Linked DNA regions of Macaca fascicularis. The protein of the gene in region 1 interacts with the protein of each later gene in a pairwise test. Links are inferred from orthologs where the notes say so. Each region holds a gene or a part of one and is shown in the gene's direction. Other genes may lie near its edges. The genes, in order: C1H1orf35, FXR2 and SRRM4.

Region 1 (6,419 bases):
GCAGTCACTTGGCCCCCTCCTCCAGTGTACCCAGCCTCCTCCCTCTATAGTGGGTTCCCCTGGGAACTCCACTGTCCCTCTACTTACTCCCTCACCTCCACCCTCCTGGGTCCAGCTTTGCTGCTGTCACAGAGGACACCACTGTGATCAGTGCCCCCAGCTGGGACTCCACCCAGCAGGCACAGGCCATGCAACCTCCACCGCGGTGACCCCTCCTCCTGTGGCCTATGGCTTGTCAGGCTAATGGGCCCAAAACTGACCAGGTCTTCCCCAGAAACCTGGTCCTCTTGTTGACAGGTGGCTGCTTCATCCTCACAGTTGCCCAGACCAGAGCCTCAGAGCCGTCCTGGACTCTTTCCCAACGTCCACCTGGCCCTGCTATCCCCTCTCCACCACACCTGATATCCAGTCAGTGGTCACACTCCACAGCCGGGCCCTGCCCACATGGCCGAAGTCCACCCTGGCCTGGCAAGCCGCAATTGCACCCAGGAGTTGATGCCCTACACCCAAGGAAGCCTTCCCAGGAGTGGGCCAGTCACCTTCTGTGTGCCAGGCTGTGGCCTGCTGCTCTGCCCTTGCCATGCACCTGCTCCATGATGCAAGCTCACACAGCACCTCATGAGGGAGATGGCAGCCGGTACTTGCTAAGTAGATAGATGAGCCAGATGGGCTGTCTGCCAGGCTGCTCTAACAGCCTGACCCATGGACTGGGTCACTAAGAAACAGAAATTTCCCACAGTTCTGGACACTAGACCTGTGTTTCATCCAGTTCAACCTGTGGCTGGAATTGCCCCAAAAGTGGTGGCAGTAGAGTTCCCACAAGGGAGTGCCCCACACCATGCTGAGATGGGGCTGGTTAGGATTCTACAGAAAGATTGAGCATGCCAGGGTAATGCGCCCAGAGCATTTATTAGCAGGGCTTTTGTACAGAGTGGGCTGCAGCAGTTCTTGCAACGGGTGGTGAGAGAAATGAATGTTCTCTCTAGGTATGTCCATGGGGAGGGGGTTGTCGAATGGAGTTTATATGAGGGTTTAAGGAATCTGGCTCAGGCTGGGTCCAGTTTCTTTCTGTGTTTTGAGCAACAACCTAGATGCTGTCATCTGTGCCTGGGAACGTTCATGGCTATGGCTCAGGTTCAAGTCTGCAGACGAAATTATACCGTTGGCGAGGTCACAGAGCGGCTAAGGGACTCTGTTTCTTGGTCACCACTGGGAATGAAAGTGGAAAGGTGAAGCAGGGGGATGCCACAACCTCCAAAATCAGGGTGCCCATCATGCTGAGGTTCTGGGAAGGGGTCTCTTCCAGACTACAGACTTCCCGCTGCCTTCGCACAGTGGAAAGCTGCACAAAGCTCTCGGGTCTCTTTTATGAAGGCTCTGTCGTCATGACCTAGTCACCTCCGAAGCACCAACGCCTTGGGTTGGGGATTTCACGTGGGAGTTAGGGTGCACATTCAGTTTACCACAGCAAGGATGGGACCAGTGCTCTGAGGGTGTCTGGGTAGCTGCTGGTTCATCCAGAAGTTTACTGGGTAATACTCAGAAATTCCACAAATCATTAGGGCATTACCTTGTTAAGCTCCCCATATGGAATCGCGGCTGGCAGTGACCAATTGGCGGTGTTAGCTAGGCGCATCCTGTGTGTTTTCTTTTTTTATGAGACAGGGTCTCGTTCACTCGCTCAGGTTGGAGCGCAGTGGCGCGATCTCCTGGGCTCAAGAGATCCTCCCGCCTCAGCCTCAAAGCGTTGGACTACAGGCGCGCAAGCAAGCGCGCGCCTGGCCCATTTTAACTTTTTTTTTTTTTTTTTTTTTTGAGACAGAGTCTCGCTCTGTCGCCCAGGCTGGAGTGCAGTGGCGCGATCTCGGCTCACTGCAACCCCGCCTCCCGGTTCAAGTAATTCTCCTGCCTCAGCCTCCTGGGTAGCTGGGATTACAAGTGTGCACCACCACACCCGGCTAATTTTTGTATTTTAGTAGAGACGGGGTTTCACCATGTTGGCTAGGCTAGTCTGGAATTCCCGACCTCAAGCGATCCGCCTGCCTGGGCCTCCCAAAGTGCTGCGGGAGCCACAGCGCCCAGGCCGGTTTTAACCATTTTTAAACGTACAGTTCAGAGGCGTTCCCGCGCTGGGCAGGATAGGCGCAGTGCGCAGGCGCCCAAAGCCTGCTTGAAGGTGACGCGCGGGAGCACAGAGCCGGGGCGGTGCGCTGCGCAGGCGCGCGGGGCGAAGCCGGGTGGGCGCCGGGTGACGTCACGGCGCGCGACGCGAAGGCGGGGTCGGGCCTGGGTCCTACGGTAGTGGGTACAGAGGGTCCGGGGTTGCGGGTCGCAGGCCGCAGGCCCCAGGCAACTGCCTCCCGGGCGCCATGTTCGGTTCCAGTCGCGGAGGCGTGCGCGGCGGGCAGGACCAGTTCAACTGGGAGGACGTGAAGACTGACAAGCAGCGGGAGAACTACCTGGGTCCGTGGGCGCGGTGGGCGCGGTGGGCGCGGCGGGCGGCCTCCCGGGGGGCGCTGGGCTCACGGCGCCTACGTCCGCAGGCAACTCGCTGATGGCGCCCGTAGGCCGCTGGCAGAAGGGCCGCGACCTCACCTGGTACGCCAAGGGCCGGGCGCCGTGCGCGGGCCCGAGCCGCGAGGAGGAACTGGCAGCAGTGCGGGAGGCGGAGCGGGAGGCGCTGCTGGCCGCCCTGTGAGTGTCCGCGGACATCAGCGGTCGGTGCTTGGGACTTCGCTGCCGGGGCAGGGTGGGGCCAGGGGCGGGGGCTGGGGGTCGGGCTGGGCGGGGGCGGGGCTGCGGGGACTTGCGCGGGTGGGACCCTCAGGATGAAGGCTGGAGTGGTGAGGACCCGTGGTGGGAGGAGGTCTGTCCGTCCTGACGCCTGCTCTGGTCCTCTCGCAGTGGCTACAAGAACGTGAAGAAGCAGCCCACGGGCCTGAGCAAGGAGGTAACTCCCTGGAGTGGGGGGCACGTGGAGGGCCGTGGGTGTGGGGCCGTCCGGAACGCTGCCTGTGCTCCCGCACCTGCAGGATTTCGCGGAGGTCTGCAAGCGGGAAGGAGGCGACCCCGAGGAGAAGGGCGTGGACCGGCTGCTGGGGCTGGGGAGCGCCAGGTGCGAGCAGGTTTCCAGGGGAGGGCAGAATTGCTCGGGTGAGGCGGGCCCTTGACGGACTGTCTTCATCGCCGTGTTCCTGCAGTGGCTCCGTGGGCCGCGTGGCGATGTCCCGAGAGGACAAGGAAGCCGCCAAACTGGGGCTGTCTGTGTTCACGGTAATTCCCCGCCCCGCCTGACCGCAACAGGGGCCAACAGGGGTGGCGCAGGGCGGGGGCACTGAACGTAGCTCCCCGGGGCACTGCGGGGCGTGGTGTGGGGCCGGCCCTCAGACTCTTCCCCAGAGCGCGATTCTCCCGCAGCATCACCGCGTAGAGAGCGGCGGGCCCGGGACCTCGGCAACCTCGGCCAGGAGGAAGCCGCGGGCGGAGGATCAGACGGAAAGCAGGTGAGGCTGCACCTACTGGGCGAGCTGCGCGCCGGAGGGGGTCTCGGGAGGACCTCAGCGGCTCCCGCTCCGGCAGGTGGCAGCTTCTCTTGGCGCACCGGCCCGGCCGGTGGCCTGCCCTACTTTACTTCCTGTCCCACTTACTCCTAGGTTTTTCTCTAGGGGAGTTTCTCGGGTCACCCTTGAAGAGAGGTCCTAAGTACTGGCAGTGGTCGCGGGCTGCGCCGTGGGAGGGCGCTCAGGACCTGCGGCGGGGCCTTTTCCTTCCATGGGTGGCACCTCCAGGGCTTCTCTTGGGTGGTGAGCCTGGGCCTGACCCCAAGAGTGGCCTGGTGGGTGCAAGTAGGAAGGTGTCAACCTGTCAAGGGCACAGCTGGGGTGTAACAGGGCCGTGCTGTGGAGATAGGGATATCGCATCAGTTTCTAACCCAGGGCAGCCACTGGCCACGTGACTGCATTACTGAGGAGTGGAATTGGTAGTCTGATTTAACTGATTTAAAGACGCACTTGTGGGTGGTGGCTTCATCTCCTGGTTGGGGTCTGTGTTCACTCTCTTGGCCTGCAAGACTAGGGTCTGAGGTGCGCCTTGTATCCTCCTTGTAGCTCTGAGAGCCACAGGAAAAGCAAGAAGGAGAAGAAGAAAAAGAAAAAGAAGAAACACAAGAAAGAGAAGAAGAAGAAAGACAAAGAGCACAGGCAGCCAGCTGAGGCTGCCTCCTCTCCCACATCTCCCGAGAGGTATGCCCTGGTCTATGTCTGCCTCTTGTGGGTGGGAGCCTGGTTGACTCCTTCTGAGTGACTGCCCTTGGTCTCCCCAGGCCCAGGCACCACCACGACTCCTATTCCAACTCCCCCTGTTGTAAGAGGAGGAAGCGGGGACACAGTGGGGACAGGAGAAGTCCGTCTCGCAGGTGGCATGACAGAGGCTCTGAGGCCTGATGGCTGGACCCTGCTCACTGCTATTGTGGGACCCTGAACTCTCCCTTTGCCTTGCTTGCCTCCTGCCTCGGAAGCCCCTCGTGTGTGGGTGAAGCCCGGGGCTGCTCCTGTGGAAGTGGCTCTGGGCACCAGCCTGTGGGGCTAATGGCTAGACAGCTAGCTCTGGAAAACCTCCAGGTTTCACATAGCGGGGATGGTCCCTGGCTTGCCCTGTGAAGGTGAACCTGCCCAGAGGTACCAGTAGAAGCTGGACTCCCTCTGCCAGTAGAGACAGCAGCCATGGGCCTATGAGCGGTCTAACTGTGGCCAAGTATGGTGACCTCTATTTTTCCTTACATTGACTCTTTGTATTTCAATAAATATATTTTAAAAGGAAGGTGTATCATCCTAATTGGAAGGTCAGTGTCAAGAGTTAAATGAGATCCCACTGGGAGGTTGGAGCTGGGGTCTGTCTTCCAGGAGTCTGAGGCCTGGTGATTTTTTTTTTTTTTTTTTAGTTTCGCTTTTGTTTCCCAGGCTGGAGTGTAATGGCACTATCTCAGCTCACTGCAACCTCTGCCTCCCAGGTTCAAGCGATTCTCCTGTCAACCTCCTGAGTAGCTGGAATTACAGGCGCCTGCCACTACTCCCAGCTAATTTTTGGTATTTTTTAGTAGAGACGAGGTTTCACTGTGTTGGCCAGGCTGGGTCTCGAACTCCTGACCTCAGATGATCCACCCGCCTTGGCCTCCCGAAGTGCTGGGATTACAGGCGTGAGCCACGGCGTCCATCTGATTCTCAATGTCCTGGGGGAATGTAGTCCTCCCGTGTGTGCCCAGAGCCCCACCAAAACCCAGCGAGGGCCGAGGCCATGGAAGCGGGTGCTCAGCTGGCAATGTGGGAACCTGGGGCAGAGAGCCCTATAGTCTGTGGAGGCACAGCCTCAATTGGGTGTGGGGGTTGGGGGACTCCACCAACTGCCTGCTGCCCCAACCCCCAGGTCTGCTTCTCCCGGGCCAATGGGGTGGGTGTCCCCTCTGCCTGGCCCTAAGAAGGATCAGGGCTGTTCAGGATGTGTGTGGCCACCAGACTGCATGGCATAAAGATGGCACCTGGGCTGCATCATAGTTCACTGCAGCATTGCAGTTTTGGGATCAGAGGCATGAGCTCCCTCGCCTGGCCGATTTCTGACTTCAAAGGAAGTTAAGCAGACCTTCCTCAGGGCCCTGGCCAAGGTGTGGCTAATGTGGCTTTGACCTCTGCCCTCACCCTCACGTGGCTACTGGAGTGGAGACTGCTGTTTTGGGTGCTGTCAAGGGGGATGAAGGTTGTCGGGACTCTGCCCAACAGAAGGCAGACCTTAGACCTGCTGATGGCCACATCCCACAAACAGGTACCCCCAGACTGGCAGCTCCCCGCTGCATGGCATCTTGAGGAGAGTTGGGGGCTGTATCCACTCAGGAACCATTCCCCGGTTGGCACAAAGCACTATGTATGCTAGCGGTAGACCTGCCCCATAGCCAGTTACACAAAGCGGGTTCAGCAGCAGGCCGAGGGAGGGATGGAGGCTGAGGTCTTCCATGGTGCCTGCTGACCCCTGCCCTGTGTGGCCCAGTTCTCACTGGCTGGGCCCAACAGGACTGCGAACAGAGACCAAGGTCAGTGTGGCTAACCATGCTGGAAGAGCCTCTCACACAGACACAGAGAAGTGCCCACACACTCAGGAGGGGACATGGAGAGGGTGTGGACTCAGGTGGTGGCCCTAGGCAGTCACCTGCACTTCCTAAAGCTGGCTGATCCACCATCTCCTGGGGGCAGTATGCCTACGTGGAAGCACTGGAGAGCCGGCGAAATAGTTAAGAGATTTTATTCTAATAGCTATAATTACAGTGCTTGTTTGTCGAAATGAAAACTGAAAACAAGTATACAAAACAGTTGATTACTAATCGTGTATTGAAAGCAGTAAGAGGTTCCACGACACCAAATAGACCAGTTCTG
Region 2 (6,319 bases), on another chromosome or scaffold:
TATCTTAATGGTTATTCTATTGTTTATGTTGCCTAAGCTGGTCTTGAACTCCTGGGCATAAGCATTCCTTTTGCCTCAGCCTCCCAAAGCACTGAGATTACAGGTGTGAGCCCCACCATGCCTGGCCTCCTCATCCCTTTCTTGATACTTTTGGGTGGTCTTCAATATCTCTTTGATTCTCTACTTTTCTTTAGGTTTATTCTCGAGCCAATGAACAGGAACCTTGTGGCTGGTGGCTGGCCCGGGTGCGGATGATGAAGGGAGATGTGAGTGACTGGGAATGCCTTTGGAGAACTACTGAAACAAATATTTTATTCTTAGAAAGTTGCTCAGGTCATCCACAACTTCTCCTTTTTTACCATATGCCAGTTCTATGTTATTGAATATGCTGCCTGTGATGCCACCTACAATGAAATTGTTACCCTGGAGCGACTTCGGCCAGTTAATCCCAATCCCCTTGCAACCAAAGGCAGCTTCTTCAAGGTTACCATGGCTGTGCCCGAGGATCTGAGAGAAGCGTGAGTGTTAAGGATGGTGGGAATGAGGGCCCTCTTTACAGCCCTAATCTCTGGCTTTATTTCTTCCAGGCATCACTCCCACTTTGCAGTTTTCTCTGTTGTTCCCCTGGCCCTCTAGAGCCCTTCTTGCTAAGAAGACACTCTGTTTATTTTCCCATCCTTGTTCTTTAACTGTGGTCCCTCTTATTTTCTTATGCACTCAGCCCTGCTCCTCTGATTTTTTTTTTTTTAAATAGAGACAGGGTCTCACTATGTTGCCCATGCTAATCTTGAACTCCTGACCTCAAGTGATCATCTTGCCCTAGCCTCCCAGAGTGCTAGGATTACAGGTGCAAACCACCATGCCTGGCCTCCCCAGAGCTCTTCACTGTACTCTCTGTATTCTGCCCTCTGAGTACTTTTTTCCTCTGCAGCTGCTCCAATGAAAACGTCCATAAAGAGTTCAAGAAAGCGCTGGGAGCCAACTGCATCTTTCTCAACATCACAAACAGTGAACTCTTCATTCTGGTGAGTTTATTCTGCCTGAATTTCACATAAGCCCTTTGAACATTTTTTCTTTTTCCCCTTTTAACCCCTTTGCAGAAAGGAAAGGGCTTAAATGTGCTTATATTTATTCGTCAGAGAGGACTGTGTTGCTTCTGACTCCTACAGGCCCAGGTAGTCCACCTTTTTTTTTCTTTTTTTTGAGACGGAGTCTCACTCTTGTTGCCCAGGCTGGAGAACAATGGCACAATCTCGGCTCACTGCAACCTCCACCTCCAGGGTTCAAGCAATTCTCCTGCCTCAGTCTCCCGAGTAGCTGGGATTACAGGTGTGCGTCACCACGCCTGGCTAATTTTTTTTTTTTTTTGAGGTGGAATCTCACTCTGTCGCCCAGGCTGGAGTGCAAAGGTGTGATCTTGGCTCACTGCAACCTCCGCCCTCCAAGTTGAAGCAATTCTCCTGCCTCAGCCTCCTGAGTAGCTGGAATTACAGGCACCTGCCACCTCGTCTGGCTAATTTTTTTTTTGTATTTTTAGTAGAGACAGGGTTTCACCATCTTGGCCAGGCTGGTCTTGAACTCCTGATCTTGTGATCCACCCGTCTCGGCCTCCCAAGTTCTTGGATTACAGGCATAAGCTACCGCACCCAACATGCCCAGCTAATTTTTGTATTTTTAGTAGAAACAAGGTTTCACCATATTGGTCAGGCTGGTCTTGAACTCCTGACCTCATGATCCACCCACCTCAGCCTCTCAAAGTTCTGGGATTACAGGCATGAGCTACCATGCGCGGCCTCTGACCTTTTTTTTTTAAACCCGATAATCATGTTGCCATCTGGGTTGGAGACCCTCTCTTGATACTTGGACTTTCAGAAATAGAGTATGTAGCTCTCACCTTATGCTTGCTCTTTGCTTTCTCTCTAAACCATTGTCCTTCAGTACCCGGATAGTCAGCCTTTGTGGGACTGACAGTGAGTCTCCTCCTTCCTAGCGTCATTTCTTTTTTTTTTTGGAGATGGTGTATTGCTCTGTCACCAGGCTAGAATGCAGTGGCACAGTCTCGACTCACTGCAACCTCCGACTCCTGGGTTCAAGCGATTCTACTGCCTCAGCCTCTGGAGTAGCTGGAATTATAGGCGTGCACCACCACGCCTGGCTAATTTTTGTATTTTTAGTAGATACAGGGTCTCACCCTCTTGGCCAGTCTGGTCTCGAACTCCTGACCTCGTGATCCTCCTGCCTCGGCCTCCCAAAGTGCTGGGATTACAGGCATGAGCCACTGCGCCCAGCCTGCTAGCTTCATTTCTCAACCCTTTTCCCGAGATTTAGGCATCCTGATTTCTAGTCCCTGGCTCTCCCTCAGTGTTTATTCCAAGCCAGTTTTAATGACTTTCCCACCGGTTTCCTCACAGTCAACCACAGAAGCCCCTGTGAAGCGAGCATCTCTGCTGGGTGATATGCATTTCCGAAGCCTGCGCACCAAACTGCTACTTATGTCCCGAAATGAAGAAGCTACCAAGCACCTAGAGGTAACTTTTAGCTCCTTTTCCTCCTGCTGAAGATACTGTCTTCCTCCCTTCCTACCCTGTCCTCCATCCATGCTCTTGCATTTACAGAACAAAGACTAAGGCTTTTTCTGGGCAGTTAAACCTGGTTCAGGGCCGGGCGCGGTGGCTCAAGCCTGTAATCCCAGCACTTTGGGAGGCCGAGACGGGCGGATCACGAGGTCAGGAGATCGAGACCATCCTGGCTAATACGGTGAAACCCCGTCTCTACTAAAAAATACAAAAAACTAGCCGGGCGCGGTGGCGGGCGCCTGTAGTCCCAACTACTCGGGAGGCTGAGGCAGGAGAATGGCGTGAACCCGGGAGGCGGAGCTTGCAGTGAGCTGAGATCCGGCCACTGCACTCCAGCCTGGGTGACAGAGCGAGACTCCGTCTCAAAAAAAAAAAAAAAAAAAAAAAAAAACAAAAAAAAAACCTGGTTCAGCTATTATTTTATCTCAGACTCCTCCAGATGACAGAGCTCTATCATGGTATAGTACAATTATTTTCAGATTTCTTTTAACCAATTTGTTTTAAATTTTTTCGAGACAGTCTCGCTCTGTCACCTAGGCTGGAGTGCAGTGACATGATCTCGGCTCACTGCAACCCCCACCTCCTGTGTTTAAGCAATTCTCATGCCTCACCCTTCTGAGTAGCTGGGATTACAGGCATGCGCCACCACACCCGGCTCAGTTTTGTATTAGTGGAGATGGGATTTTGCCATGTTGCCCAAGCTGGTCTCGAACTCCTGACCTCATGTGATCCACCCATCTCGGCCTCCCAAAGTGCTGGGATTACAGGCGTGAGCCACCACACCTAGCCGATGGCACCCTTTTTGATGAAGTTAAATGTTGCTTGGAACCACAATGCATAAAATAGTCAGAGCAGCTCTGTCTAAAAGTGGAAAGTGGACATGGCTCTTACCTCCACCAACACCCCCAAATCACCTGTGGAAACCAAACGACTTTGCAGGATATATTTGAGAACCATTTGGACACTGGGCATACCACTGGACTTGGAATGCTAAGTCTTGTCAAATAATTGTCTTTTGGCAAATAATTTCATTACGCTGAGATTTATCTTCATCTGTGCCAGTGAGGTCGGTAGGCTAGAGTGTTTCTTTTTTTAAATTTTATATTTAAAATATTTTTTCTATTTGTTCATTCTCACAACTTAATAGGTAAACTAGAACATTTCTTTTATTCTTTTTTGTTTTTTTTTTCAAGAGGGAGTTTCTCTCTTGTTGCCCAGGCTGGAGTGCAATGGCACAACTTCGGCTCACTGCAACCTCCACCTCCTGGGTTCAAGCCATTCTGCTGCCTCAGCCTCCTGAGTAGCTGAGGTTACAGGCATGTACCACCACGCCTGGCTAATTTTTGTGTTTTTTAGTGGAGACAGGATTTCACCATGTTGACCAGGCTGGTCTCGAACTCCTAACCTCAGATGATCTGCCTAACTCGGTCTCCCAAAGTGCTGGCATTGCAGGCATGAGCCACTGCGCCCAGCCTCGTTTTTTCTTTTCTTTTTTGAGACAGGGTCTCACTCCCATTGCCCAAGTTGGAGTAACATGGCTCACTGCAGCCTTGACTCCCCAGGTTCTGGTGTTTCTCCTACCTCACCCTCCTCAGTAGCTGGAATTACTTGCGTGTGCCACCATGCTCAACTAATTTTCTTTTTTTTTTTTTTTTGGATGGAGTCTTGCTCTGTTGCACAGGCTGGAATGGAGTGATACAGTCTTGGCTCACTGCAACCTCCACCTCCCAGATTGTAGCAATTCTCCTGCCTCAGCCTCCCAAGTAGCTGGGATTACTGGCGCCTACCACCACACCCAGCTAATGTTTTTATTTTTAGTAGAGATGAGGTTTCACCATGTTGGCCAGGCTGGTCTTGAACTCCTGACCTCAGGTGATCCACCTGCCTCGGCCTCCCAAAGTGCTGGGATTACAGGCGTGGGCCACTGTACCCAGCCTAATTTTTTTTTTTTTGAAACATAGTCTTGCTGTGTCGCTCAGGCTGGAGTGCAGTGGCGTGATCTCGGCTCACTGCAACCTCTGCCTCCTGGGTTCAAGCAATTCTCCCTCCTCAGTCGCCGGAGTAGCTGGGATTATAGGAGCCCATCACCATGTCCAGCTAGTTTTCGTATTTTTAGTAGAGTTGGGGTTTCACTATGTTGGCTAGGCTCGAACTCCTGACCTCAAGTGATCTACCACCTCCCAAAGTGCTGGGATTACATGCGTGAGCCACTGTGCCTGGCCAATTTTTTGTATTTTTAATAGAGATGTGGTTTTGCCATATTGCCCAGGCTGGTCTTGAACGTATTTTTGTGTTTTTTTTTTTTTTTGAGACAGGGTCTCGCTCTGTTGCCCAGGCTGGAGTGCAGTGGCGTGATCTCGGCTGGATGGAGATGGAGTGCAAGCTCCATCTCCTGGGTTCATGCCGTTCTGCTGCCTCAGCTCCCCGAGTAGCTGGGACTACAGGCGGCCGCCACCACGCCCGGCTAATTTTTTTGTATGTTTTTTTAGTAGAGACGGGGTTTCACCATGTTAGCCAGGATGGTCTCGATCTCCTGACTTCGTGATCCACCTGCCTTGGCCTCCCAGAGTGTTGGGATTACAGGCGTGAGACACCATGCTGGGCTGAATGGTTTTTTTTTTTTTGAGATGGAGTCTCACTTTGTCACCCAGGCTGTAGTGCAATGGCGTGGTCTCAGCTCACTGCAACGTCCGCCTTCCGGGTTCAAGCAATTCTCCTGCCTCAGCCTCCCAAGTAGCTGGGACTACAGGTGTGTGCCACCACACCCGGCTAATTTTTGTATTTTTAGTAGTGACGGGGTTTCACTATGTTGGCTAGGCCGGTCTCAAACTCCTAACTTCATGATCCATCTGCCTTGGCCTCCCAAAGTGCTGGGATTACAGACGTGAGCCACTGTGCCCGGCCCTGGTCTTGAACTTCTAGACTCAAGAGATCCACTTGCCTGTACCTCCCAAAGTGCTAGGATTACAGGTGTGAGCCACCACACCCAGCCTATACTAGTATATTTCTTTTTTAGGGTGGGCGCAGTGGCTCACGCCTGTAATCCCAGCACTTCAGTACTTTGGGGGGCTGACGCAGGCAGACCACCTGAGGTTGGGAGTTGAGACCAGGCTGGTCAACATGGTGAAACCCCATCTTTACTAAAAAGACAAAATTCAGGTGGGCGTGGTGGCACACGGCTGTAATTTCAGCTACTCATGAGACTGAGGCAGGAGAATTGCTTGAATCTGGGAAGTAGAGGTTGCAGTGAGCCAAGATTGTGCCATTGCACTCCAGCCTGGGGGACGAGTAAAACTCTGTCTCAAAAAAAAAAAAGATATGGCTGGGCGCGGTGGCCCACGCCTCTAATCGCGACACTTTGGGAGGCTGAGGAGGGTGGATCACCTGAGGCTGGGAGTTCAAGACCAGCCTGGCCAACATGGTGAAACCCCATCTCTACTAAAAATACAAAAATTAGCCTAACAAAAATTAGCCGGGCGTGGTGGCGGCCGCCTGTAGTCCCAGCTACTTGGGGAGCTGAGGCAGCAGAGCGGCATGAACCCAGGAGGTGGAACTTGCAGTGAGCCGAGATTACTCTTGGGCAACAAGAGTAAACTGCATCTCAGAAAAAAAAAAAAGGATATTTCTTTTTTTGTTGTTTTTTTTTTTGTTTGTTTGTTTTTTGAGATAGCGTCTCTGTCGCCCAGGCTGGAGTGCAGTGGCACTATCTTGGCTTACTGCAACCTCCAACTCCCAGATTGAAG
Region 3 (6,319 bases), on another chromosome or scaffold:
TCCAGGTAGCAAACCACAAGATAATGAAAATTATTGTACTCACAGGCCCCTGTCCTTGAGTTCTTCCAGCCTAGCTCCCTCCAAGACGGGCTTGCTGGATTCACTTGTAACACCCTGGCTACCAACCATTCACCATCTCTGGGGCAAAGATTCCATGATCCCATTCTTGTACCAAGCCCAAGCCAGAGATCACAGATCTCAGGGTCTAGTTGTCTGGCATGATACATTCCTGACAGGGGTGGTGGAGATACATGTATTACCACTGAACTCCAGAGTTGAGAAAGATGTGGCATCCAAAACGCAAAACAAGAAGACAAATAAATAGGAGGACTGAATGGGAACAGGGCCTTTACATTGTTGTTTTAAAAGTCTCACTCTAAAAGACTCCACCAGAGCAAACTTATTTTGAGGTCCCTTTTCCCAAAGCAAAGCTATCCAAGGTGCCATGCAGGTAAAATGGCAGCTGTGGTGGACAGAACTTGCTAAAGCTAGACTATCACCTTGCCTGTGTGCAAAGCCTCCTGGGAGAATCTACAAAGGAATCCCTGCTTCCCCGGCCCCAAGAGCTGACACCCTGAGCGCTGGAGTTATGCTAGTCTCACAGTTCCACTGTGTCTGTGTTTCACCCACATGACCAATTGCTGAGAAGGCAGAAATGGTTCTTAAGAAATTCCAGAAGCGCCCCCTCCTTTAGGGCCAAGATGCACAAGATAAAGTTGGGAGAAAGAGTAGGCTCTTTATGGTGAAGCCTGCCCTAACATTTGTGACGTCAGAGCAAAGTTATAGAAGAAGATCCGTATATTAGATGTCTAAATGGTCATAAATAAGTCAGCAAACTTAATAAAATATGTTCTGTTATCTTGGTAAACATACCTTCAAAATGATCGGAAAGTTAGTTATGATTTTAGAATCTTGGACCATTTCAGAGTGCCAGGATGTGACATAGCAGTTGGGGGAGAATCTGGCCCCGGAACTATCCCTTTCTCTCCCTGAATCTGGCACATCCAGCACCATGATGGGGCTTACACACATGCATATAGACCCCTCAGCCTGAACATCCAAGTTCTGTCCAAATAGCTACCCTTGGACCTAGGAGTGTGGACACTTGAAGCATGCTCTCCCTGCAGGAGAATGGATCCATGGATGAGGCCTACAGAGACCTGGAAAGGGGCATAGGAGTCATTTAAACAGAGAATTCTGGGATCTCAGATATCCAGAGAGTGGTTGAGGCAGGCAGTAGTCTTAAGGGGGTGCCTTCTTGGTTCCCCAGATTTCTCATCCCATAGGGATGGTTATCTCTGGAGGAGGCCCAGGGCAGGGATCCCTCCCATCCACAGCTGAGCGTGGTACTGCTGGCAGAGGCCAGCATCAAACTTACTGTGTCATCCCAGCCACAACAGGACTGAATATTTAAAGAAACCGCCCCTTCCCCCCCCGCCCCACCACCATCCTGCTTCTAAAAGTGTGCTCACCTTCCCAAGTGCTGGCTTTCCATCGCCTCCTTTACTCCTTCATTGGTCCTAGATCAGCCCTAGACAGGGTTCTGGGGGCCCCTCTTTATTCCCAGTCACCCCAAAGCCCAATCTCCAAGCCCGTTCCAAAGCCCTCTGTTTCGCATCCTCCCTCCCTCGTGCCCCCTCGACATTCACACCTAGGTAGTAGATGCCATACTCTAGCTGCCATTGGCATATTCCACAAGGGTTTCCTGCTCCAACTTGGGCCCTAAGGGATTGATTAGGTTGGCTAGGTTAGGTCCCCTTTATGACAAAACCAAACAGAATTGATGCCCCCACCTGTCAAGGGCACTGAAAAAACCAAAACTCAAAGTTCAGGGCCAAGTTTGAGGATGTGCAGAAAGGTGTGTGTTTTTTCTTGTCAATTGCGACTCTAATGATGGACTCACGTTGCCCGCTCTTCCCTTTCTCTTACACCTTACCTACCTACTAAAGGAGGAGTTCTTGCTTGGTAAGTGGATATAATCCGCAAAGACATGAGAGAATTTATTAGAAGCCACTCAAGAACCTTAGCTACCTTCTACAAGGGGAAAAGGACACACACAAATATCTATAGAGACCCTTTTTTTCATTTATTTTTGGTCAGACTATTTGACTTCCATTTTTTTTTTTGTCCCCTCCTTTCTTTTCCCCTTTAGTTGAAAACTGCTAAAATGTCAGTTTGCGACCTTGACTTTATATTTAAAAAAACAAAAACAAACTCTCATCTTTATTTCATTTCTTTTCCCCATGTGATATTTGTTTAGGGTTCTATTCAGGCAACTTTTTCTTTTCAAAACCAAAAATTGTTAAATTAATTGAGGATTTGGTTGAAGTTTAAAATTTTGGCTTTACCTGCTTTTATTTTTGATTTCCAAGATATATTTTTTCAGGCCCATAGTTCCATTTCTTTTTCCCCTTCCCTTTCCTTTATTTTTTATTATTGTTTTAGGTTGAGTTAAGGGTGTTTACACCCCCTTTCTATTGAGTTGACTCTTTTGTTTAATTCATTAGAAATTAAATTTTGTATAATTTCCTTTTTCTTTTGTTTAACCTGAATCGCATGCTTTTTCTCTGCATGATACCTAAATCTTCCAGTTATCCTAGCAGGGGGTAAAAAAAAAAAAAAAATCTCCTTTCTGTGGTATTCTTTCAGGAATTTGTGCTTTTGTTTTTTGGCGTCTCTTCTTTCTTCTCCTCTCTCTCTCTTTCCTTTCGTTACAGTGCATCATGACGGTAAACATTTCTTGGTTATTTAGACACAGCCCATGGGCCCAGCGCTCAGCAGTGTCCAACGGGTCTTTTTGCTTTCAGATCACTGGGTCGGGGTCTGCTGCTGACCTCTTTACCAAAACAGCCAGCCCGCTCACCACCTCGCGAGGACGTTCCCAGGAGTACGACTCAGGCAATGACACGTCCTCACCACCCTCCACGCAAACCAGCTCAGCCCGGTCTCGGGGCCAGGAGAAGGGGAGCCCCAGCGGGGGTTTGAGCAAGAGCCGGGAGCTCAACAGTGGCAACACCTCTGATTCAGGGAACTCCTTCACCACCTCCTCACCCCAGAACAAGGGGGCCATGTTGGAGAATCTCTCCCCAACCAGCAGGGGCAGAGAGTCAAGGTCAGTGCACTGCACGGGGTGGGGGATAGAGAGTCTCCCACCTTAGCTCCACCTTCTCATGCTCTCATCCCAGCCTCCCCCACTCCACCCCCAAGATTCTTTTATTTGTAACAGAGAGAAAACTTAACTCACACTGGCTTAATTGTTTTAAAACGCTAGTGGCACTAGCTTCAGGTACAGCTGGATTCAGGGGCTCAAAAATATGTTGCTGGAAATCTGTCTTTCTCATTACATCTCTTATTCTGCTTCCTCATTCTACTGGCCTTATTCTCAAGCAGATCCTCCCAAAACATTGTCAAATATGCCAAGTAGCTAACATTCTATCGGTTTAGCCAGCCAACAGGAGAACAGTGCTTCTTTCTCAAAGATTTCGGCAAAACACCAGGGCAGGTGCTCATTGGTTCTGTTTGGCCCAGCTTAGGTCATCTGTCCATCACTGTCCCAGGGGATGATATGCTCTTGGCCAGAATGTGTCACATGCCATCACTAGGGCTAATGAGTAGAACCTTCCCACATTCCTCTATAGGAAAAGCCAGGTTATTGGTATCAGAAGAGATGGAGGCTAGGCAGGCAGAAAAGCAGATGACAATTTTACTAATAATCTTAGAAGAAAGTCTAACATTGGCAGGGTGTGGTGGCTCGCGCCTGTAATCCCAGCACTTTGGGAGGCTGAGGCGGGCGGATCACCTGAGGTCGGGAGTTCGAGACCAGCGTGACCAACATGGAGAAACCCCGTCTCTATTAAAAATACAAAATTAGCCGGGTGTGATGGCGCATGCCTGTAATCCCAGCTACTAGGGAGGCTGAGGCAGGAGAATTGCTTGAACCCTGGAGGCGGAGGTGGCAGTGAGCCGAGATTGTACCGTTGCACTCCAGCCTGGGCAACAAGAGTGAAACTCCATCTCAAAAGAAAAAAAGAAAGAAAGAAAGTCTAACATTAAATTCACTGTAAGTCACTGTCATTTAAGAACATATCACCGTATTTACCCAAATGAATTGAAAACTTATCTCCACATAAAAACCTGCACTTGGATGTTACAACAGCTTTATTCGTAATTGCTAAAACTTGGAAGCAACCAGGATATCCTTCAGTCGGTGAGTGAATACATAAATTGTGATATGTCCAGACAATGGAATGCTATTCAGTGCTCGGAAGATATGAGGTACCACGCTATGAAAAGACATGGAGGAAACGTAAATGCATATTACTAAGTGAAAGAAGCCAATGTGAAAAGGTGGCACACTGCATGGCTCCAACTGTATGACATTCTCGAAAAGGCAAAACTATGGAGAAAGTAAAAAGATCAGTGGTTGCCAGAGGGTGAGGGGAGGGAGGGATGAATAGGCAGAGCACAGAGGATTTTTAGGGCAGTGGAACTACTCTGTGTGATACTACAATGGTGGATAACTGTCATTATACATTTGTCCAAATCCATAGAATGTATAACACCAACAGGGTACTCTGATGTGAACTATAGACTCTGGGTGATAATGATGTGTCAGCGGAGGTTCATCGATTGTAGCAAATGGAGCACGTTGGTGGAGGATACAGATAGTGGGGAATAAGGCTGTGCGTGTGTAGCAGCAAGAAATGTATGGGAGCTCCCTGTGCTTTCCATTCAATTGTGCTATGAAACTAAAACTGCTCTAAAAAATAAAGTTTATTAATTGTAGATACAGATATACCATAGTATAATTTATCAACATATCAGAGAACATTGAGACTTCTCCATTTTTTTACCCATCTTAACACACTCACTAGATACAGTTTTCCTGCAGAAAACTCTTCCATACAGTTGCATATGAGCCAGTTGTAATTCTACTTCGTCACCCGCTTACTCTCTCACTCAAGAAATCACAACAAAATGCTAATTACTGAGGGTACTGTCATCATAATAGCTACTACAATTTACTGATCACTTAGTCTGTACCATTCATTCTGTTATTTATTCCTCAACTTGTTTATCAGGCAAGTCTTCTCTACCAGACACTCAGCCTGGTGCTGGGGATATAAAATGGAACAGTCTCCTTTTTCTCAGGAGCTTATAATTCATGGGGCAGATGCACAGGTGCAGGATGGGTGGAAAAGCTTTGCTGATGCCCTCTGTCATGTTAACGGTGAGGTTTTTCTACTTCTGAGGGTGGGAGTTTGCCTTTGTTCCATGTAGCCAAGATTTTCAAAAGATCACTAAAGCCTTAGCACTGAAGCAGCTAACAGCTTCTTCAAAGACAGAGTACTCTTTGTCCCTAACACATACCCCACTTCAGTCCTGGACAAACAGCTTGACATTCACATGCAGAACAGTCTTCCCTTTTGCCTGCCCCAGGTCATCCCTGGCCTCAGCCCACACCCATGCTTGGCTGAGAACCTGAGCTGGGCCAGGGCGAATATCAGTGTCTCCAAGAACAGGCAGTGAAGTTCCCAGAAGGGAGGAGGAGGACACATGTTTACTGATATACTGCAGTGCTATTATGCAGGAAAAGTTGAAATAGCAGTAACAACGACAATAATAACGGCAGTTCATATTCATGGAGCCCAAATCACATGCTAGGTACACTACCAAATGCTTTCCAGAAATAATCTTCCTCAGCTCCTCAAAACTTTTATGGGATAGTACTATTTGTAACCCTTTTTTTACCTGATGGGGAAACTGAGGCTCAGAGTGGTTGAGAAACTCAGTTAATAAGTGGCAGCACCAGGATTCAAATGCAAATAAATCCCCCAAAAAGGAACTAAAGCCTGAGAGACATCTAGCAGTTACCTGTTTAATTTGATCTCCATGGACAGCCAAATTAAATAGTTTAGACCCAGCCTTTCACTTTGAAATATAAATGATGGTTGAGTCCACAGCTATTTATGTCATGCCACTTATGAGCAGAGAGGGCTCAATAAATATGGACTGAGTGGAAGAGACCTCAGCTCTAAATCAAAGGAACCATAGGCACTGAAGGTAGGGAGCTGGTGAGGTGGGAGGGGTGTGGGCTCTGGAGCTGCACAGATCAGGGTTTGAGGCTCTGGGTGGTGTTGAGCAAATAACAAACCCTTCTGATACTTCTCTGTAAATTTGGGGGTAATAATGGCGTTGGTTGCTGGGTGCAGTGGCTCACACCTGTAATCCCAGCACTTTGGGAGGCTGAGGCAGGCGGATCATGAGGTCAAGAGATCGAGGCCATCCTGGCCAACATGGTGAAATCCCATTTCTACTA

The links.
Region 2: the proteins of C1H1orf35 (region 1) and FXR2 interact in binary tests that used the Homo sapiens proteins (3 or more experiments, as listed by UniProt). The two-hybrid records come from large-scale screens. The link is inferred for Macaca fascicularis from reciprocal best matches to the Homo sapiens genes C1orf35 and FXR2.
Region 3: the proteins of C1H1orf35 (region 1) and SRRM4 interact in binary tests that used the Homo sapiens proteins (3 or more experiments, as listed by UniProt). The link is inferred for Macaca fascicularis from reciprocal best matches to the Homo sapiens genes C1orf35 and SRRM4.

Annotation. Positions count from the first base shown.
Region 1 is NC_088375.1:86,008,427-86,014,845, reverse strand, and holds C1H1orf35 (multiple myeloma tumor-associated protein 2), read left to right. Parts: upstream 1-2,270; 5' UTR 2,271-2,369; coding exon 2,370-2,463; intron 2,464-2,543; coding exon 2,544-2,694; intron 2,695-2,904; coding exon 2,905-2,950; exon of another isoform or gene 2,951-3,032; coding exon 3,033-3,115; intron 3,116-3,200; coding exon 3,201-3,273; intron 3,274-3,417; coding exon 3,418-3,503; exon of another isoform or gene 3,504-3,803; intron 3,804-4,106; coding exon 4,107-4,241; intron 4,242-4,321; coding exon 4,322-4,442; 3' UTR 4,443-4,818; downstream 4,819-6,419.
Region 2 is NC_088390.1:7,649,306-7,655,624, reverse strand, and holds part of FXR2 (RNA-binding protein FXR2), read left to right. Parts: intron 1-194; coding exon 195-266; intron 267-369; coding exon 370-518; intron 519-931; coding exon 932-1,025; intron 1,026-2,411; coding exon 2,412-2,528; intron 2,529-6,319. UniProt on the Homo sapiens protein: mRNA-binding protein that acts as a regulator of mRNAs translation and/or stability, and which is required for adult hippocampal neurogenesis. Specifically binds to AU-rich elements (AREs) in the 3'-UTR of target mRNAs.
Region 3 is NC_088385.1:126,143,575-126,149,893, forward strand, and holds part of SRRM4 (serine/arginine repetitive matrix protein 4), read left to right. Parts: intron 1-2,807; coding exon 2,808-3,112; intron 3,113-6,319. UniProt on the Homo sapiens protein: Splicing factor specifically required for neural cell differentiation.